4 linked regions of the Drosophila melanogaster genome follow. The protein of the gene in region 3 interacts with the protein of the main gene of each other region in a pairwise test. Each region holds a gene or a part of one and is shown on either strand. Other genes may lie near its edges.

Region 1 (4,797 bases), on a different chromosome or scaffold from region 3:
CATTTAAAGCGACAGCTGTCAGGTCAAACAAAAGTGGAACACGACCACAGGACCTTCCTTTTAACCGATTAATCAAATATGCATGACCAGAGTAATTATGTTTGATTAATACACCCATACGTACGCATATATACATATACATATATATTTCTTTTAATTATGTCTTCGCTCGGCTGCAATTGTGTGCGATTGCCATCAATTATATTTTTGCTTAACAATTTTCTCCTTTTGTTTGCTTTTGATTTCCTGCTATTTATCAAACATTTGCATAATATTTCATTCATTCAAAATTGTACGCTCAAAGAGTTTCACAAGTAAACAAAAGGGTATTCATAAAAATTTAAATCAAGTAAATATGTCAATGCCAAAACAAATATAATGGACGCGTTTTGTGTTGCACTTCCATTGCATTTTCAACTTTATTGTGCCATTTAAAAAAATATTGCAACAATTGTAAGCTGATTAAATGGGAAAATATATTCAGGTCATAGAGTCATAAGCAAGTTTAATCAGCTACAGTTACTTTTTGTATCAATCCAATTCGATGAATTGTAGGAAACCATGCACATAAAATACAATTTTTTGCTTATAATTTGGCTCAATATTATAACCCTTTTTTTTCTAACGAAAGAAGGGTTATTAATGTCGTTCTGAAATTCTATAAGCTCAACCGAAATATTTTATAGAGTAACCAAACAGCTTTTAAAGCCTATTTTCTGTTCGGCCTACTTCACTTATTTGTATCTTTCGGTTACTCGCATCTTAAAGCAAGCTTATGAATTTCTTTTCTGTGTGACTTAAGCTGATTTGGGCCAGACAATGAATAGGGAAAGTCAAGGCAAAAAAAAAAAAGGTTAAGTACAATAAAAATAATTTATGTATTTGGGCAACTTTCTGACGCGCAAAGTTCCATAATAAGTGACCTTGCTGAAGCAGCGTGTAAATAAAATGTTGTTTTATTTTCTTAGAAAATGTCTAGCATAAAATGGCAATCTTGTCGGGCGGAAAGTCTTAGTTACCTTTTCCCTGAGCTCACAGGTAATGGTGTTGGGAAAGTGGTCAAAGGTGTAGCATCTAAGCATATTTTCTAAGGCAATCTCAGTAATGGAAATTTGTGGTGGATGCCACAGAAATATGTGCCACATGAGTGGAAAGCTACGACTCTTAGTAAAACTGAAAACGAAGGCATTTCACGTGACCTATTTAAATGTAAGCCTTACCCATCGCGAATTTATGGTTCTTAGCAATAATGTTTCATTATAAATAATGGATCATTAGCTAATTAATTTCAAGAACTTAAAAGAGTTTAAATAGGCTTATTAGTATGTTTCCGAAGAACAAAATTTCAGTTCGTAGTAACTGAATCAGGTTTATGTTCAGTTGCCTGATAAAATTTTAATTAACCAACAAGTAGCTCTCAAATACTTATAACACTTATAATATTCCGTTTGTATATTAATTAAAAATAGTCATTATTATTTATAACACCTTTCCATCAGTGAGTCTTAATATAAGCTTTTAGGAGCATAAATTTGGTGTCCTTCCCCCACAACATTTAATAAAATAAGTTGATTGGAATACCACCCACCTGTATGTTTAGGCACGTGTGTGCCCAGAGAAATTCTTGGCATTTTCATAATTAAATTGAGCTAACAATCCAAGCTCCTCCCACCGGCAACATTTTTTCCTGAACAACTTCTAACCACAGCAAAGAGAAACAGCGAAAAAAAATATCACAATAAATAAAAATGTAACCGTACCACCCGTTGGCTTGGCTTTTCCGCCACTGGGAAAACCAACGCACCACCCAAACTCAAACAATGACACATTGGTTGATATGTGTTTTTGTTTTTTTTTTTTTTTTGTAAGGAAATACATGATTATTGGTGTTAACTAGTTAATGAAATTATTGGATAATTGGCTCAATAAAATTAAAAGGGCTCACCTTTGCTGCGCTGCTGTTGTCCTTTGATCCTGTTTTGTTGCAAATTTTTCGATGTTTGGGTTTTTGATAAAACTCAAAAGTTTCGGTACCGAATCTTTATGAACCTTGGAATTTTCGCAGTGCTAATTTTCACTTTTGTTTTTCAATTTTTTATCATCTAAATAAAGGGACTTTAATGTTTGCTTTATCTCAACCCATCAAGGCCTGTGAACTCATTTTATATGCCCCCTTTTTTTCATGTGTTGAATATCTCAGCCGTGTGATTCCCGTATTTAAACCATTTCTCGCCCTTTTTCCCATTTTATGCAAATATTCCCGGTTAAGCGGAATGCGACCCTAATTTATGAGCCCCAAAGGGAAGGCGAAAGAAAAAAGTTAAAAAGCAAAAGTTCAGACGAGGGAAAATCGCAACATTTTCCGAGAAATTTTAAAAGGAAACCCCAAAGTATTTCTTATAATTATTTCTAAAATTCTCGGACCGCGTTAAGAGATATACGTATTCCTGGACGACCTTGGCGGTCTTAAAAAACAAAACAGCACGCGAAGATGAATAACATTTTTTGTGTGAGTTGGCTGTATGTGCAACGTGCAACGAGTGCAACGTTAATATGCCACAGCCGCCGTGTGGCCTTGATAGGTAAGAATTGAGGTGAAGGATCAGTTGGGGCAGGTTCGGTTTTTAGTTTTAGTCTGGCTTAGTATTTTAGTTTGGTACTCGAATATTCAAGGATCGCTGGCACTCTTGCACACTTTATTTTGGGATATTCGTTTCACTTAAGTGTTGCATACTTGATTTTGCACACTGGCACGCAGGTCTAGATTTTCATTTTTCCGTAGATTTCTTCATATATTTCGTTGCTTTCACATTGCGTGCGTATATTTCACATTGGCTCATTTATTATTTACCTTTATGGCACACTGGACAACTTTTACTTTCGACTAGCGCACCCGTGTCCGTGTGAGTAAGCCCACTTGTGCGTGTGTGAGTGGCGTATTGAGGTTGTCCTCCGAACAGGACCTTCCACCGCTTTTCACCGTGAGAACGAACCGAACGATACGACTGCACTGAATACACTGAAAGCCACACGAACGGCGTCGGCTTGAAAAGCCAGGCGACCAGCCAAAGCTCCCATTTTCCTCTTCCCCTTTTTCGGCGAGAGAGCGAGCTTTTCCGCCTAGAACAGTGGGCCAAAATGTATTCATCCTGCCAGCTCACTTCCAGTCGGTCTTCACTCTCACCGATGGCACTTTCGAACTTCCCGAAACATGTGGAGTCTCTTTGATATCCGGCTCTCTTAAGGCAAGCATTTAATGGCCATCTGTTGGCATCCTTACGAAGCCACAACTCTTTGCCCCGCTTTGCAGAACTCAACACTTGCCAATAGTGCTATTTTGTACCACTCAAAAGGGTAAACTACAGCGTTTATTCTTTTGTTTGTTATTTATATTCTCCTTTAAGCAAACATTTACACATTCGTTGTATGTTGTTGCTAAATTATTAGTGGAGATACAGGAATACTCTCTTACTACCATGCGGCACATTTATTAGCTTTTATTGGTTTGTTTTCTGACAGTTTTCTTTAAAGGTCAAAGCTATTAAATAATATTCGTCACATTTCAGTAAATATTATTTCTATCTGGGCATATAAGATAATTCATGTCAAAATAATTGGATTCTTTATAGCAAAGATATATTCTTTAAATTTAAGCAGATGAAAATTTCTTCTTGCTTGGTTGATTCTTTAACTCGTACAATTCGATTTTTGCAAAGCTGTCAGGGATTTAAAAAGGTTATTTAAATTCCGCAATTGCTATCCATGAAATGGTATCCTGATCCAAAGTGGGTGGTTACTGGCCAGGGGAGTGAGAGACTTCTAATAGGCAGCTCCAGACACTCGGCCTTCTTAAGCACTTAGTGCACATTAAGTGCCAGGGATTCGGATTGTTTGCTGCCCAGTCGTTTGGACTCATGCCCAATCCACGGCAGACCCCATTCAGCATTGAGAAGCCCCGCTTTCTTCCCCAACTGCTCCTTAGTCTGCTTCAAAGTTAACTGACACTTACACTTGCACTTCTGTGAAATCAAATGCATTCGCCTTGGGCTTGGATTTGGATTTCCTTTATGTTCGAGCGGGGCTACCCATTTTCAAGAGGCTGGAAAAACGTTTTTCCAGTTAACGGACACTGAATGATTGGGTAGCATTAAACGGGTAGCACTTTTCGGGTGGGTGGGGCTTAAATGACTTAGTGATAGACTTAAATGAAAAGCCATAAAAGATTGAAAAACCATGCAATCGGTCTGAAAGTTTGCATATTAAACCATTCCATTTAAACACATCCACTTTAGAACGCAACATATTTATTAACCAATCCTAGTCCTCGCAGAATTCTTCCTCCACTCTAGCACTTGTACATCAAACGAATTTTGGTCCAATCCCCTTCGGAAGGTCCTCGCACCTGACCCATTTCCCTCTCCACAGCCTTACCACCGATTAGGGCACGAATTGTTGGCTTTGAGGGATCCTTGGCGAAGGCGTTCTTCGAATAGTGCATAACGCTCTCGTAATCGTATGGAACATTGAAGGTGGTTGTCTGATCCATGGCCATGAACTGCGACCAGTATTTCCTCGGGATATTGTCGTAGTCGATTTGCACGTACTCATCGCGATCGGGACGACTCTGCTCGTGGAAAAGGCCCAGCAGGTGAAGGGTTTCGTGTTGAATTACAGCCGGCATAGTGAGGCATTTCTCGTTAAGGACAACTTCGTGCGGACCAAAGGACAGAGGTTGATAGCCCACTCGAGTGCCACACATATTGGGCGACTTCTTGAAGGACACATATCGTTTGCCTG
Region 2 (7,059 bases), on a different chromosome or scaffold from region 3:
AGAAACAAATGGGACTGTGTTGCACATCTATGATTTGCAAAATTGTTAATTTATCGAACACCCGGTGTAGACAACTCTTTTATTTTGTTATTCTAAATAAATTGTAATAATTAGAACATAATGTATATTAAACAGTGCCCAATGTTACTGAGAAACCAGACTTTTTAAATATGTTTTTGTAATTTCATTGAAAAAGGCAACTTTTGGAATCCGTTTCGTTTATTAGAGAATATACTAATACTAAAATAACCCCGTATAAGACCTTTTTCTACTGAAACAATGTATAGAAAAAATCACACTAATATATTTTTCGGTTGTTTCTGTAGCTTAATATCCCGCTATGATATCAAAGATGTTCAAGTTGCACTGACGCCTCTAACAGATTTTGAGAAGGAAATCGAGAAGAGCTCCAAGAGGGTAAGTTGATTTTTTCTTTGTTTATCTTTTAGCATACTATTAATAGAATGATAAACAACTCAGTTATCGTTCCGAAATATTGAGTTAATATAAGCTTTTTTACTTTTAAGGAAACTTGTTTCGGATCTCTTGAGTGATTTTTGCGAAACATTCTCTTAAAGTGTTTTCTCTCTTTTTGGATACAATGTTGCTATATTAATGATGGTTCCCATTATCTTTTACACTTGTATACAACTTGTCATTTAGTTTTTCTCTGATCAAACCTAAAGAGTGGGACAGAGAGTACTACTATATTCGTTTCACTCGCCAAAAGTTTTGAACGCAGGCGCCTTGCCAATTTTTGTATCATACTTATAAGTGGAAATGCAATTGCAAATGCATGTTAAAAATGTTTTGAGAAATTCTGCCGAAGGTGCGCGTTAATTATACAAAAGGTGTTGCCCACCCGTTCTTGTCTTTAAGAAATTCCGTGTTTTTCAATGCTACCCCTTGAACTTCGGAATTTTCGATCGATCCATTTTTTAAAATGGTGTGTGTTTCGATCGAAATACTGTAATAAATCAAATATTAAATTAGTTTGTTATAAATTTGAGAAACTTACTACTACTACTTTGATTTCAAAACTAAAATAATCGGTAAAATCATACCATTAGAACTAATATCAAAATGAAATCATTCTTAGTAATGATATTAAGAGGTATTTTCTGGCCGAGTTGGCCCCCGCCATGTCTGGTTCTATTTTGCCGATCTGATTGATGCTCAATGATGTACCCATGCCCCATTAATTTCCTTTTGAACCAAAAATGCATGGCAAAATATCGAATTTTAATTAAATGCAAATGCGCATGTTAATTTATTGATGTTGAAGTGCCAATGTTCCGAAAGGCAGGCAGGCAGTGGCTTTGAACAAGACAGTTGAACCATGTTGTTGGTCCAATAAAATACCAACATCATCTTTTTCGCCTTGTCATGAGCACGATCACCTGGAATATTCTGCTATAAAATGACCGTATATACAATTTATGAAAGCACATTTTTCTTGTATACTAGCATATTGTATATGTGAGAGCAGATATTTTGTGATTTGTTGGGATTCTTGTTCGGATGGCTAATGTATTTATTGTTGGGGCTATATAGTCATCCCTATCATTTTCTCTGGCGACAAAGTTGCCTTCGTGCCGTGTGCAGACAAAGACTGAAAGCGCTTGACAAATTTTTCAGCGCGATCAGTCGAAAATCGTTGTTAATCGAAGCTAAACTAAAATTAAGGATATTTCTCTTGCGAACCTTTTTATTACGAACGAAAAGTAAATATCAGTTTTTGTCAATGGAAAACGAAAACCAAAACCAAAACCAATCACGCATAACCCAGTAAATTCCAATATTTTGTGTTGTGCTTGTCTAAAAAATATCGGTTCAAGCTCTGCTACAAACCAAACGCGAAGCGATGAAAATACAGTTTTGTCAAGCGATCGTTTAAATTTAGAACTTGTGCGTAATTTGGACCATAATTTGACCCACAAATGAGAGGAGGAATGTATGGCTCCACACAGGAAGCATTTTTCCCACACACTATTATTAATAGATTCCGTTTTTTCGAGTGTGAAAAAACTTTACGGAAACTGTCTCACTCAATAAAATGAGAACTATTTGCGAGGAGTTTTTTTTTCAATCGAGTTTTATTCAAGTACAAATCGATCATCTTTTCATCAGATCAAATCGAATAGTCACTATCCTTGAATAGAGAAAAATTAAAGATACAGTCCTTACTCGACGTAAAAAACACGTACATTTTGATGAGTTTTATAATCTTATTGCATGCAAAAAGTATTATATTTAGTCGGGAATATAAACAAACTCCCAGATGCCTGAGGTTTCCAATGATATGCAACTTTTCGATCATCTTTGATAATCTCCCACTGGGATAAATGTGCATATAATATACACAAAAGTTAGCAAACATCCAAGAATGAGATACGGTCAAGAAAAAACGAGTGAAGGATATGGAATAAAAAACTTTTTCGAAGAATCGAAAAAGTTTAAAAACCGCAGATGCATACCAATATGTTTCCATCCCACTCTCTGGCGTTATTTGATGAAAACTGAAATAAAACGAAGGAAAACTGCTCCGTGTTGCCGCATCTTAAGTTTCTCAACTCGGTGTGCTGAGCAGGAAAACTCAGTGGCAGCGGCGAAAAGTCGACCGCGTTGCCGTGCCGTGTGCACTCACAATTATATAGACTAGTTTGCTTTGAGCAATCTTCCAGTTCAGTACTCGGCGCTTCCGTGTGTGGTTTTAGTGCGTTGTAGGTTCCGTTCTATCTTGGCTATAATACACTCACACCCAACGGTTGGATATCGCCAGCTCTTAACCGATTTTTTTGCACGCAGCAAAAGACCATTGCAAAGCACCTGACTAATCCATCGCAACCGCTAGATAACCAGATTACCGGCCAGGGACGATGCTCATCTGATGGTGGTGCTTTAGCTCTGACTCAGTTTTAGAACACCCAGATATGTACATATATATATCTGCCACAGTTATTTTTTGTGTGTGCTTTTCCCAAATCTATCTACCTGTCTGCGTTATTTTTATACAACATTTTCTGTATAGATAGATACACATTTATTGCTCATGTTTTTCTCTGTGTTCTGTGATTTGAAAAATTCCTCCTTTATTTTTTGTTGTCATGAGAAAGATGTTATTTTCTGATCATTAACATAGGAATCTTCAATATGAATTACGTATACATACGTCCGGTTGGGTAATTTTCTGGCACGGGCGATGACGTCTCGACTGACAGATAAGAATCTTGATAGATGATCTACATAATGCAAATTGAGGAGAAATTCGCGACTGTCAAGTTGAATTTGTAATAGTTCATTGTAAACTTAAGATAAAACAAGCGTCTTAATCGTCCAAATAGGTTAACATGTAGATTAGCTTGAATTAACTAGTTGGGCTTAGAATAATTTGGAAACCATTTAACATACAAAAATGACAGATGCTTACCTCATCGCTTTCATCGCCACCAAAGCTTCCACTCTGCTGCATTTCCCAGCAGGACTTACGCCACGATCCCATCGACTCTATGTGTTCTTCTATTTTGCTATTTCAGATAATAAACTTAATAAGTAAAGTAATTGTACTCGCGTAGATCATTTTGATAGCGTTAAAAAAACCGAAACACAGACAGAATGCCTTCCTTCCAACCGATCGAGGCCCCCAAGTGTCCGCGCTGCGGCAAGAGTGTCTACGCTGCCGAAGAGCGTCTGGCTGGCGGCTATGTATTCCACAAGAACTGCTTCAAGTGCGGAATGTGCAACAAATCCCTGGACTCCACCAACTGCACAGAGCACGAGCGCGAGCTCTACTGCAAGACGTGCCACGGTCGCAAGTTCGGGCCGAAAGGTTACGGCTTCGGCACTGGAGCTGGCACCCTCTCCATGGACAACGGGTCACAGTTCCTGCGCGAGAACGGCGATGTGCCGTCCGTAAGGAATGGAGCCCGCCTGGAACCCAGGGCTATTGCTCGTGCCCCCGAAGGTGAGGGCTGTCCTCGTTGCGGTGGCTATGTGTACGCCGCCGAACAGATGTTAGCCCGCGGTCGCAGCTGGCACAAGGAGTGCTTCAAGTGCGGTACCTGCAAGAAGGGTCTGGACTCGATCCTGTGCTGCGAGGCTCCGGACAAGAACATCTACTGCAAGGGCTGCTATGCCAAGAAGTTTGGACCCAAGGGCTATGGTTATGGCCAGGGCGGTGGTGCTCTCCAGTCCGACTGCTATGCTCACGACGACGGAGCACCGCAAATCCGTGCCGCCATTGATGTGGACAAGATCCAGGCCCGTCCGGGTGAGGGTTGCCCACGTTGCGGCGGTGTGGTCTACGCAGCGGAGCAGAAGCTTTCCAAGGGTCGGGAGTGGCACAAGAAGTGCTTCAACTGCAAGGATTGCCACAAGACTCTGGACTCGATCAATGCCAGTGATGGTCCCGATCGTGATGTGTACTGCCGCACCTGCTACGGCAAGAAGTGGGGACCACATGGCTATGGATTCGCATGCGGCTCTGGTTTCCTGCAGACCGATGGCTTGACCGAGGATCAGATCAGCGCCAACAGGCCCTTCTATAACCCGGACACCACGTCAATTAAGGCCCGTGACGGCGAAGGCTGTCCCCGGTGCGGAGGAGCCGTATTCGCCGCCGAGCAACAGCTGTCCAAGGGCAAGGTGTGGCACAAGAAGTGCTACAACTGCGCCGACTGCCACCGGCCATTGGACTCGGTCCTGGCCTGCGATGGACCCGATGGCGACATCCACTGCCGCGCCTGCTACGGCAAGCTCTTCGGCCCCAAGGGCTTTGGTTACGGCCACGCCCCCACTCTAGTGTCAACCAGTGGCGAGAGCACCATCCAGTTCCCAGATGGCCGTCCTCTGGCCGGACCCAAGACTTCGGGCGGCTGCCCGCGTTGCGGTTTCGCCGTGTTCGCCGCCGAGCAGATGATCAGCAAGACCAGGATCTGGCACAAGAGGTGCTTCTACTGCTCGGATTGCCGCAAATCGCTGGACTCGACCAACCTGAACGATGGACCCGACGGCGATATCTACTGCCGAGCCTGCTACGGCCGCAATTTTGGACCCAAGGGAGTGGGCTACGGTCTGGGCGCGGGCGCTTTGACAACGTTCTAAACGAGCCTATTTTATGTATATCCAATCGAAACCCACATCCATGTCTGTGAACCGTTCCGATGCATCTGTCTAATGACCAATCTGTTTTAACTAACTATCCCTGAAATTAGCTAACTTAGTCTTCGTTTTGCTTCCAACGATTTTTGATCAACGATGCACTGAATGCAATTCAATTTTCTTTAGGTTATGTGAGATTAAGTTTAATATGAAAACAAGAAAAAAAGAATAAATGCCAAAAACATAAAACTTACGACTCAAAGCGAAACTAACCATCGAACACAGACTAACGAACTAAACGACATTGACCACATCGAGAAAAGCAAAACTTTCTGCAGGTGAAACTGCTGCGAGCCAAAGTCGTTATTACTTTTTTGTATCTTAAACTATTTATTTTCGAAGACCAGCCAAGTATGTCTTATGCTCCAAATCGAATTACCCAAAAGCATACTTTGTGCAAATGGAAAAATTTTATACACATAAATATACTCTTACGACGAACAATGATGAAAGATATGATGTTGTATATTTAGCTGATTTAGTTCTTACGATATACTTATGAAATCTGATTATTTATAATGATGTTTGAATGATTTCTCACCCATCTAATCTCTTGCATTCTGTTTGGGATGCCAGCCATGGCAGATATAAAATATTTATTTATATATATATACATCAGCGTACATGTTCTGCATACACACACACACACACATAACATCCAATAATATATGCCCCAGTGGGTTCCATGAAAACAAAATGATTTCGAAATGGTTTTCGTAGTTTTAATTGATTTAATTGGGTGTGCATACCTGAGATTTCTGCATCTAAATGGTTGGTTGGCAATCTGATTGGAATGACCGGTGGGTGGTTGGGTTGAGTTCAATTCCGTTTGTTTCGGGATCGTTCGGTTCGGATTGAGCCAGCTCATCTGGTCTATATATAGCTTGTTCGGCCGACAAACATCGTGAAAAATAATTGCTCAACATACGCACAAAGAACGTTCCCTACATATACGTACAGGAATAAATCCTTGGTTGTGTGTGTGTGTGGCCTCTCGAGAAAAACATCGAAATGTTCCATAACCGTACTGAAATGGTTTTCTAAATATAAATATGATGCCAATATGCCTCACACAGCTGACCCGAAAGCTTTTCACAGCACTCAAAACTCTCACTCAAGAGAAGAACTTAAGAGATTGTATTTATTCGCATATATACTTGTGAGGAATCCCTAGTTATATTATAATAATTATAACACGTGCCTGCTGAGAATGTTGTGTAATAAATGCTTTACTCACCCACCCACCTAGAGCAAAGTTCTTATTGCTAATGCACTTTTAGGATCACCCCCCACCCGAAATAACCCCTTGGGAACAAAATTTTAATGATTCCGTCCCACGCCCACTTGCGCGCATTATTCACATTTCTATTCATTTTATTCGACATCCTATAGGTATGGTATGGTTTTATGCTCCGTGACGTTGACCACGAAAATACGTTGCCAAGGGGTTGGCCAAACTAAATAAATTATTTTTTGTTTTAATATAATTTTTTTTTGTTTCAGACACAAATATCAAATAAATCGCCTTCAGCCAGGTGTGTTTACGTTAGTTTTGGTATCGCATTGGCGAGAATATTTATAGACTTACCGAGTCAGCGTCTATTTTCGAGTGATTTTGGTTTTGAAATTGTTTCGCATATGACACACGGCACTTCAAAAACACCCGAATTGACGAGCCACAACAGTGAGAATATTTTTTGCGGACTGCGCCGCTGATGTTGATCTCTAAATATACTTGGAGATGTATTCTACTCGTATTCGATATGGCTTTTCTAGTATGTTATTAATGTTCAATTTCTGGCTTTGAATGGCGCGAATAGATTTATGCCTTGCTGAAGTCCGCGACTATTTGTATAACGGATCGAACATGATAATGGCTAAGATAGAGAACATGTGGTT
Region 3 (5,050 bases):
TCTGAATTAAAATTAGCACATGCGAGCAATAACATGTTAATTTCAAATAAAATGCTAAATACATAACAATCGTAACGAAGTTATGGTTCTTAACCTTAGTAAACCTTTTAAGCATGGCTTGTCTTTCATACTTCTCATTAAAAATATATTGCCTGTAACAAAATCGAATCCATTATGCTTTCCCACCTAAACCAGTTAAGAAGATACACTTTGGCCACATGTTGTCGGTCATCAAATGGCTGTCAAATTACCTAAACTCCAATGCAGAGCTGCTGCAACTGATGAAAAAGATCGTGATTATGACGAAGGCGATGGGCAACCCACACGAAATGCTAATGAATTGTTATCAGTTAATTGTCTGAGCGGGGTACCCGGCTTTGTTATCTCAGCTCTTATGCTTTTATGCTTTATTTGAATTCGATTTGGGAACGCGGCGTGGGTGTTCCCCAAACCCAAAGTCCCCACTCAAGTGGCAGCTAATAGCCCAATAAATTGTGATTGTCGGCGGCGAGGAAACCGAAGCAACACACACATAATATTAAGAGAAGACCGTAGTACCTTTGTGCAGCTAAGCGAACTGTCAATGGCTGGCACATTGTTCGATTTATGACCATTCTGTTGGCCAGGGAATGTGCAACCAGTTTATGGGATGGATTCGCACGGACGAATGCTGAATGCTGGATGTTCCACAGCGCAGGCGCAAATCCTTTTGACATGTCCAATGTGCTCAGCATTTAGACAGTGGGCAGCTATTCTGTTGCCAGTGGCTAATAGTATGTGGCAATGCACTTGGCGAAACTATTGTATCTAGCACAATCAAAAAAGTTATATACAAAAGTGATTATGCTTAAGGAAAGTACTGTACATATATAATATAACAGACTTACTTAGGACATGAATTAAAGTACATTTAAAACCTTTATCATGTTTAACCCATGAATTTTTGATTAAATCTAGACTTAGTGGCATTTTTCGAGTGTGGTTGACAGTAGCACTCTTATGATGACAACGACAGATCCAGCACCCGATATGGACAGAAGGGCTGGAAACGAGTTCTTCTTCGCTCTGGGACTCGGATTCTCGATGTGAAAGATCAGCGAGCCGTGGCCTAAACTGGCTGCCCGGCAGCGGTGGGTAAATATTTAACTTAACAACTTGCCACCGACCGAAGAAGATGCAACAAAAGCAGCCGTGGCCGCAAGAACAACAACGGCGGACCATAAAAAGCACAAACCGCAACTTCCAAATAGTTTGAACTGTGCAGAGAGTGCAGAGATGATCCTCCTATAAACAAAACAGCTGTAACGCACTCAAAAACCAGCCAACGACCAGCCGAGGGCATACCTGCCCACTGCGCCGCCCACCACCCACCACTGCGCCCCTCAGCCCCACCACAAAGAGTTCTTCCGCCTGGCGAATTCATCCGCTCCACAGTTGCATCGAACAAAGGAAGCCAACTTGTGCCCCCATCGGTCCAATTTCGTTTGAGCGAACCAGCCAATGTGCACCGAACATGGGCTTCGACTGGTCTGACAGTGCAGACCAGCTGGCTATTTCTAGCTGTAAAAAAATATATACAGATTATATACAGACTAATAAGAATACACCTGAGAAACATATTAAAATTCCACTGATATTTAGCAAGATAAATTGAGTAGTAAAATCTTACATATTTGTAGAAGTTTGTGTGGCTTCTTATTTTAGAGAAATTTACCCTTTTCAAAATTTTGCTAAAATATCAGGTAAAGATATTTTTAAAAACAAATATATATGTAGATTTCAGAAAACTCGACGTATTTTCTACGGCATCTACAGTTATCCCGATTCCAAAGAAGTAAACAAAAAGTAAAGTGTGCTACTGATATATGAATGAATCAATGTTTAAGAAAATAACTAAATATTTACCGATGTTCGGAGTGTTCAGAGTATACAATCTATATACTTTTGGCTCCACTTTCCGACTGCACTGGCAGCGCCGTCGATCGCCGATCGTTAACTGGACTTTCGGTTTCGGCTGTGCATTTTCAGTTCGTCTCGGGACTTCTAAGCGATCGGTTTGGATTTCGTTAGCTCCGCCGCGCCAGCTGGAAATTTGTATCTCAAAGATCGCAGCCAGTTCGCTCGGTTTTTGTGCCTGGCATACGGAAGCGGCTAACGCAGAATCCGGAAAATCACAAGAGCCGTATATATTTCACAAATATATATATATAGTATGTTTCGAAAAGGCCCATTCACGGCCATTAAAATATTTTATTGTACAAAAAAGGCACAGTGCCGCGTATCTGCTTAATGTCAGCGCGAAAACTCAATTCAATTTATTGTTTGTGATTGCAAATTTGGCATAATTGTGCTTTGATTTATTCGCGCGTGTTTCGGGTCATCTCTATAAAGAGGAATTTTAAATCTGGGCAAGATTATCTCTGTTTTTCTCTGAACACTGGCTGGGTCAGTTGGAATTTGTTCGCCGTGTGTAAGTCACATGCAAATAGCTTTAATTAATTGCAATTACTTATGATTTGAATGTGTGTCAAAGCGCGGTGCGACATTTCCTAGTGCATTAATCTTGCTCAAAATCGCATTGCCTATCCTGTCTAGGAGTTACATGTCACTTATGGACGTAATTTGCATTTTTGTGGAGCGGCTAACTAAGTTGGCTTACCATTTACATATGCGCTTTGGCTGCCAAACAATGCCATAAATGGTCTAAGAATTAATTATCGTGAGAACTTCAAGACAATGTCTTTATTAAATAATTGTCAATAATTCTGAGTAGTTTTCAATGTACAATTTGTGATAATTTTCTTGGTAATTTTCTACGGTAATTTGCACCTTGATAAAAAGTGTTTAAGACAGTGTAATTTGTTTCCGTGTTTTCTTCAATGCAAATTATTTATTTCGAAATGGCAATAAATTGCTCAATAAATTTTATTTCTTTCAACAATGATCTGATAAAGGATTAATTCATTGCTTCGTTTTTGCGTAAACAAAGATTGTTCTGCGGAAATCTTGTAATTTATTTTTACTCTTTTAGATAAGTTTAAAATATATATATTTTATATAACCATTTTTCTTCACTATCGAAATGAACATTTTATAGCCCAACATTATTGCTGACATGAATGCAACCAAAATAAATATGTAAATCTTGTGACGTTATCGCCATCAAAAATTAGTGTAAATAATGTGACAAAGCGGAAAACGACACAAATCAAAAATAGATGTATCAATACTTTCCATTGTTTAGACTAGTTTGGCTAACAATTATGCATACATATGGCTAAATGAGTTTCGTTTTTTTTTTGTTTGCCCCAACGTGCATTCTGCATTCTCACACATATCGTTTGGCAGGTGAGCAATCAGAAATCGAAGTTTGGGGCACGATCCGTGGAAAGCGATCGTGCCTTTCTGCGTATCATAGTGTCTATACAAATGTTATTATGGTTAACGCCACTGGAAAGTGGGGTGGAGTTTGTTGTTGGTTTTCTTGTTTTTCCTCGACTTTGCTAATTAGACAAAGTCATTTCCATAAATTACGCAGCTAACGGTAACTGGGTTTATGACTTTTGTCCGGCTTGGTCGCGGGTCAACATGAACCATAGCTATATGCATACATATATATGGATATATACTATTTGTTCATATGGGCAATGGGTCTGCGGGGCACGTGTGGGCGTGGCCTCCGCCCCCTTGCAGCTGCAAAGCAATTAGCAAAAGACTGGACATGCCAGCAAATTGAGCTCTGCTGTTGCAGTTTTTCCTTTGGCCTTTTTTGGGTCGCTGCAATTGTTATTGAAATGAGTTTTCGCGTTAAAAACAGTTGAACTTGCTGGAAAAAGGTACATGTATCTCACAGTTATCGATCACAAATGAGTAATTGGCCATTAGAAACGGAATATGGTCACAGGATATCAAATAAAATGAAATTATTATTGAAGGCTATACTCAGCAGTATCTGTAATTATAAATCCATTAAATCTAAAATTGTGCAATATTTTTCTCAGTGTGCTAAAGGGGGTTGGTGAGGCATGCGACTTTTGAGATGTCAAACTGTCGATGTTGAACACGTTGCATAGTTTTCGCTTTTCATCTCCGACTTTGTTAGGGAAGAAACGCAGCCACAAAGGCCAACAACATTCCTTAAATTGGATTGAAAGTAACAAAGTGAAGTGTAAACAAAAATTGCGATCGATACCCCCCCCCCCCCCCCGCCGTTTTGTTGATCTTGTTAAAAAATAAAAACATTCGCAATGAAATAGTGGGGAGGCAACGTCGAAAGTAAACGAGATACAAACTCCGCGGAAATGTGTCATGATCTTGCAATATTAAAGACAGCGACACAATATCAACAAATGAAACACAAAACAGCACACACTATTAAACCACATGCGAGTATTTTGTTGGCCGTGATTTTTCTACCCATCACGGCTGTCATGGCTGTCTTGGTTGTCTCGTGGGAAAAATCAAGATGAGCCCGGCAGCCAGAACAATAAACAAAGCCAAGGAATGAATGAAATGTGTAACCCCGACGCAAATATTTGGCAATATGTCAGATAAGATATATTCGATAATTTCCCATCGCACTGGGTTATTGAACTCAGAGAGCAGCGTGAAAATTATATCGACAGTGGGTGGCTTTTCTTTCGCCTTTTCCCACCCCATTTTCTCACACAATTCTCCGGGTGCGATCGATCGTACGGTGCAGTGCAGTTTTCCCGAGATCTAAGGCATTTTGCGGCCCATCTCGGCTGTCTAGATAATGTTAATAAAAGCAGCGTTGAAAAGCGTTTGCAACAGCAACAAATTGGAAAATTTGAATTTTCCTCGAGCGGCCATTAAAGAAAAGCTGCAGAGTTACCAAACAATTGCTGGGCTGTTTGGGGATTCTCCTCGGCAGGCGGCGTTAAGCTTTTAGTTTATCTCTTTATAAGAACTTGAGGAGCGGCCCCGATTACACAAAACATAAATAAAAACGCAAGCTAAACTGGCAGCTGTTTGGAATTGCACAAAAAAAAAGAAAATGTTAAAAAAAAAAATCGAAGAAAGAGCCGGA
Region 4 (4,596 bases), on a different chromosome or scaffold from region 3:
GGATGCCGGTGCTCAGGATTCCCAGTACACCGAACAAATGCTACTGGAGCAGCTTAAGCTATGTGCTGACTTCTTGGATCGCGCTGAAAGATTTGAGTGCCTTGGAGAGCTCTACAAACTCATCCTGCCCATGTACGAAAGAGATCGTAGTTACCAGGACCTGGCACACTGCTATGAGCATCTCACGCAAGCCTATAATAAAATAGTTGAAGTGAATCGGTCAGGAAAGAGAATGTTGGGTCGCTTTTACCGTGTTGTATTTTATGGATTAGTGAGTAATCTACAGAATACCCTTAAAATTAATATTAAATTTAATGCTATTTTTAGATGTACTTTGAAGAAGATCATGCCATCGAGTTTGTGTACAAGGAGCCCAAGCTAACATCACTCAGCGAAATCTCTGAGCGACTTGCCAAACAATACAAAGAAAAGTTTGGAGCCGATGTAGTTAAGATGATCATGGACTCATCACCGGTAAGTATAAAAATTACACTTTCTTTAAATTTTTCCCAGTCTTGGTTTCAATTTTAATTTTAACATAACCTAGGTATTTTTGGATTGGAAAAACTAATTTTTGAAAGGGAAGCAACAAATCCATATAACTTATTGCAAATCACTTGAAGAGATATTCGTTGTATAGCAGATCCGAATCACTGTCGGCGCGCATCAAACTCATGCGCTACAATGGAGTATATATATATATTATATTATTTGTGAAATTGGAGTTGCGAGAGGGTTTACCCGCTTGACCTCGGACTGTCGCATCATTGAGGCGTTTGTGCTTCTTGGCATCATTCGCTGTGGGTTGCCATTGGTTTGCTTTGGATTAGACATGGCAATCCTGCTGGCCGTAGACATTTTTCCTGACTTGCAACTAAAGATATAAAGGAATAGAAAATATAAAATAGACAGTTTACAGGCACATAATAATAGACTATTAAAAGTTCTTCTTTCAAGGTAGTTTGAAGTAGATCTGTAAGCATTTAATGATCACAAATTTTAACTCACATATGATTTAACTTGGGTTTTTGTACGTTTGTACCAGATTTTCCTAGTTTTGTATCGCGACCTGTTGAAAGTCGTTGCGAACTGCCAGATGGCTGGTAAATTTTTGATTTTGCTTCAGTCAACCTATTTTGCTTGCGGGCAGCCCCGGTTGGGCACGAATCCATTTGCAGCTTTCGAGGGGCAGCCGATCCAGCTTGGTGGTGGCAACCAACTGCAATAGTCCGAAAATGTGAAGTCGTGGGTGAGCCCTTTGACGGCTGCATCATTGAACGGACTGCCCTGTTATTGTAGCCACTCTGTTGACCACTAGATCCTGCCCCACGAGCCGAGCATTTGGCTTTGGCTGTTTTGTACACCCGAGGAAAGGTTGTCGGCACACTAGTAGTTACCACGGTCTTGGGCTTCGTGGTAGATGGTAAATCCAACTCGAACTCATCTACCTCCATAGCTTCAATTTTTTGTTGATTTTCACTCAGTTCGTTGACCAACTGGCATCCCTGAGAGTCTTCGTATCTAAAAATATAAATCACAATAATTGTTGTATTCCCTTCACTTAACTTAAGACCCACCCACCTGTAAAGCTTTCCCCTCAAATATTCATTAGAAATAGATGGATGTTGACCTCCATTCGCGGTCAGTTCACAACCGTTGAAACTGGATTCGTCATCTCCTCTATAAGCCTTGGCCTCTACATTAGATTCCATTTCGTTCTTGGACATGCAAAGGGTTATACTAGATGACTGTGCCGTGGGTGGAGGGACCACTGTGGAGGGGCGGTTAACCTGGATCTGATCTCGGCTTACGATCAAACCCAGCCTGTGGCACAGCTCCTTAAAGGCTTTGTGAGAAACTATGTCTTGGTAGCGAGTTGATTCCGTAAAGGTGAAAAATTTCTCAAAAGCCTTTATGCACTCGATTTGGTTTTCGATTTCCAGCTCCGTATAGCTGCGATTTGAGCACAGGGTGCATCTGGGACACACGGATCCATCGCCACCGTATTCATACTTCTCGTTCAAAAGATCGTTGACCCGGATGAGGAATTGGGCAATTAGAACGGTCTCAGGTCTGTTCGCCAACTTCGCCTGATCGCCCACAGCCAGCTGGAGGCACTGTTTACTGTGGTTTACTAGAGTATTTCGGTCCAAAGGCTGCATCTGATCGTGCTCTTTGGTGGTGAAAGTCATACTAAGACCTTGTCCTCCTGGTAATACACCAACCGCGATCTCTTCCAGAGGCATTTGCTCGTCTCCCAGTTGACTTAGGGTGTCAAAGATCTGGCGCTCGAGAAAAATCCCATTTTCAACACGATTCACGGCATCACCAACGACCTCGGGACGCAGCAATGTTGTAGTTGAGGTCGCCTCCGTTTTGGTCGATGGACTTGGAGGCTCGGATTTCTGGCGAAAAGATGGCACGAATTCCACTGCGTTCGGATTTAGCGAGTACTCCCTCCTACATGGGATTGGTATCTGCATCTGCGGCATCTGGACCAATCCCAGACCCATCGCACGAGCCGGGAACTCAAAGAGCTGCTCCATAAGGGAACGGACAATGTATTGTGAAATAGTTACCGTATGTCCGACAATCTGATGAACTTATGGTTTGTGCCAAAAGAAGGAACTCGATCTCTACAAAATTTTGGATATTTTTGCGGTTCTAGTGTGCGGATTGTGGTAGTTGTATAAAAATAACAAACAATTTACTAGTACCTAGTAAAGTTGCTGAGCTATTTGAACCAAATCTGTTGAAGGTGGGAAGTATTCTGAAACAAACTTCATTCTGATATTTGCTGGAGGGACGACTTGATCTCGAAGTTACTAGTGTATGTCCACCATTGATTGCATTATTATTGCATTATATTATTATTTATTATTATTTATAGACGATTTTTTAAGACAAACAATTAAGTATTATAAAATTTTACAACTCATTTTTTCAGGTTAAAGTAGACGAACTAGATGCCAAACTTGCCTACATACAGGTCACCCATGTGATTCCTTTCTTCTCCAAGGACGAGCTAGACCAAAGGCTAAATGAATTCGAGCAGAATCATGATGTGGATACTTTTATGTACGAGACTCCGTTCACCAAATCGGGTGCAGCCCGTGGCAGCGTAGAAGAACAATGGAAACGCAAGACGGTTATAAAAAGTATGTAAAAACCGTCTTTAATTTCATTTGTACCATATTAAAGCATCAATTATTGCAGCTCAATACTCCTTCCCATATGTTCTTAAACGTATACCCGTCAAATCCCGTGAAATCATAGAACTGAGCCCCATTGAGGTGGCCATCGATGAAATGCAATCCAAGGTTTCAGAGCTGGAGGAGATCATACTCCCACCGGCCGATGTGAAGAAGTTGCAGCTGCGTCTGCAGGGAAGTGTGGCGGTGACTGTAAATGCTGGTCCTTTGGCCTACGCTCATGCCTTTCTCGATGCAAAGGTGGTTAACAACTTCTCAATGGATCGCGTCGGAGATCTCAAGGATGTTTTTCGGTATGCATTTCTAGTGACTAGTGCTTTACGTTTATTAATTGTGGTCTCTTTCTTGCAGCGACTTCATTGTGGTGTGTCAGAAGGCCCTGTTCCTCAACGAGCGGATCATCAGCGCTGACCAGAAGGAGTACCATCATGTGCTCAAGGAGAACTACGAGAAGCTGTGCCAGGCGCTCAGTGAGTTGCTGGACGACGAGTCCTTCCAGCCGCTCGGCGACGATGCCGACAGCATAAACCAGCGCAATAGCATGGCTTTGTTCAATGCGATCAGTGGCGCCTCCCATAACTCAAGTACTGCTTAAGTCCAACGAAATCATAATAAGATATCAAAATTCTGAAACTCAGTCACCCACACGCACGGCTAACCAGAAACCAAACCGATTGTTGAAGTATTCAAATAACACGAGCCCGATACGTAGGCGTAGAGATTGTAATGCGTTATCGTAACCACAACGTAGTCATAACATAGGCTCTCTTGGTGTTCCTTTGTTTGAAGTTGTCGTTGAATTTGAAATTGTCTTGCGGCAGGTAAAGCTCGATTTTGGGCTTAATGGTTTGCGCCTCGGCTGAGGAAATCCCCATGTGACTAACACCACAAAAAACATAAACAATCCAAATTTGGTGGCTTTTAATCCGAACCGAAACTAACCGTAAGCGCTTTCTGACAAAATTCGGCTAATCTAACTAAATGTTCTGTGACATTTATTAACGAGTTTGTATTAACGAGTTTGTAATTCTCCCGTTTTAGGACCGTATTTTGTTGATCAAAATACCAGCAACAGCACCCACCACCACAGTTCCCACATAAACACACAGAACTCCACACACCATTCATAACCGATAACCGAACAATATATTCTGTGCTAAACGACCAGTTCCATAAGTTCCAGTTAACCGATATTACATATTACTTGTTAATTTGACTATGCTTAAGCGACTATGATTTAGATTCCCACTTTATTGTTGTTAGATTTTTATGTTGGACAATTATAATTACAAAAAATATGTGTACATTTTTTCATAGCATGCAAGAAATCGAGAGGAGCCTGAAAATAGTTTTAAATTTAGGCTTAAAACTTGTATATTATTAT

What was found.
Region 1: the proteins of slow (region 3) and dpr9 interact in a two-hybrid assay, tested with the Drosophila melanogaster proteins (one large-scale study listed by BioGRID).
Region 2: the proteins of slow (region 3) and Mlp84B interact in a two-hybrid assay, tested with the Drosophila melanogaster proteins (one large-scale study listed by BioGRID).
Region 4: the proteins of slow (region 3) and CG6441 interact in a two-hybrid assay, tested with the Drosophila melanogaster proteins (one large-scale study listed by BioGRID).

What each region holds. Positions count from the first base shown.
Region 1 is NT_033777.3:15,074,185-15,078,981, forward strand, and holds the start of dpr9 (defective proboscis extension response 9), read right to left. Parts: upstream 3,023-4,797; 5' UTR 2,852-3,022; intron 2,103-2,851; 5' UTR 1,946-2,102; intron 1-1,945. Other genes in the region: CG6974 (uncharacterized protein), read right to left, coding at 4,346-4,797.
Region 2 is NT_033777.3:7,112,316-7,119,374, reverse strand, and holds Mlp84B (muscle LIM protein at 84B), read left to right. Parts: upstream 1-1,642; 5' UTR 1,643-1,724; intron 1,725-2,658; exon of another isoform or gene 2,659-2,723; intron 2,724-3,536; 5' UTR 3,537-3,615; coding exon 3,616-5,103; 3' UTR 5,104-6,525; downstream 6,526-7,059. Other genes in the region: Alh (alhambra), read left to right, coding at 327-417. UniProt on the Drosophila melanogaster protein: Plays a role in cell differentiation late in myogenesis. Transcription factor Mef2 is essential for expression.
Region 3 is NT_037436.4:4,382,418-4,387,467, forward strand, and holds the start of slow (slowdown), read left to right. Parts: upstream 1-2,024; 5' UTR 2,025-2,210; exon of another isoform or gene 2,211-2,470; intron 2,471-5,050.
Region 4 is NT_033779.5:7,472,857-7,477,452, reverse strand, and holds CG6441 (uncharacterized protein), read right to left. Parts: upstream 2,750-4,596; 5' UTR 2,547-2,749; coding exon 1,582-2,546; intron 1,522-1,581; coding exon 1,009-1,521; coding exon of another isoform or gene 1,005-1,008; exon of another isoform or gene 960-1,004; intron 875-959; coding exon 742-874; intron 680-741; coding exon 614-679; 3' UTR 501-613; downstream 1-500. Other genes in the region: Ziz (zizimin), read left to right, coding at 1-271, 328-474, 2,948-3,158, 3,217-3,505, 3,564-3,796, 4,254-4,342.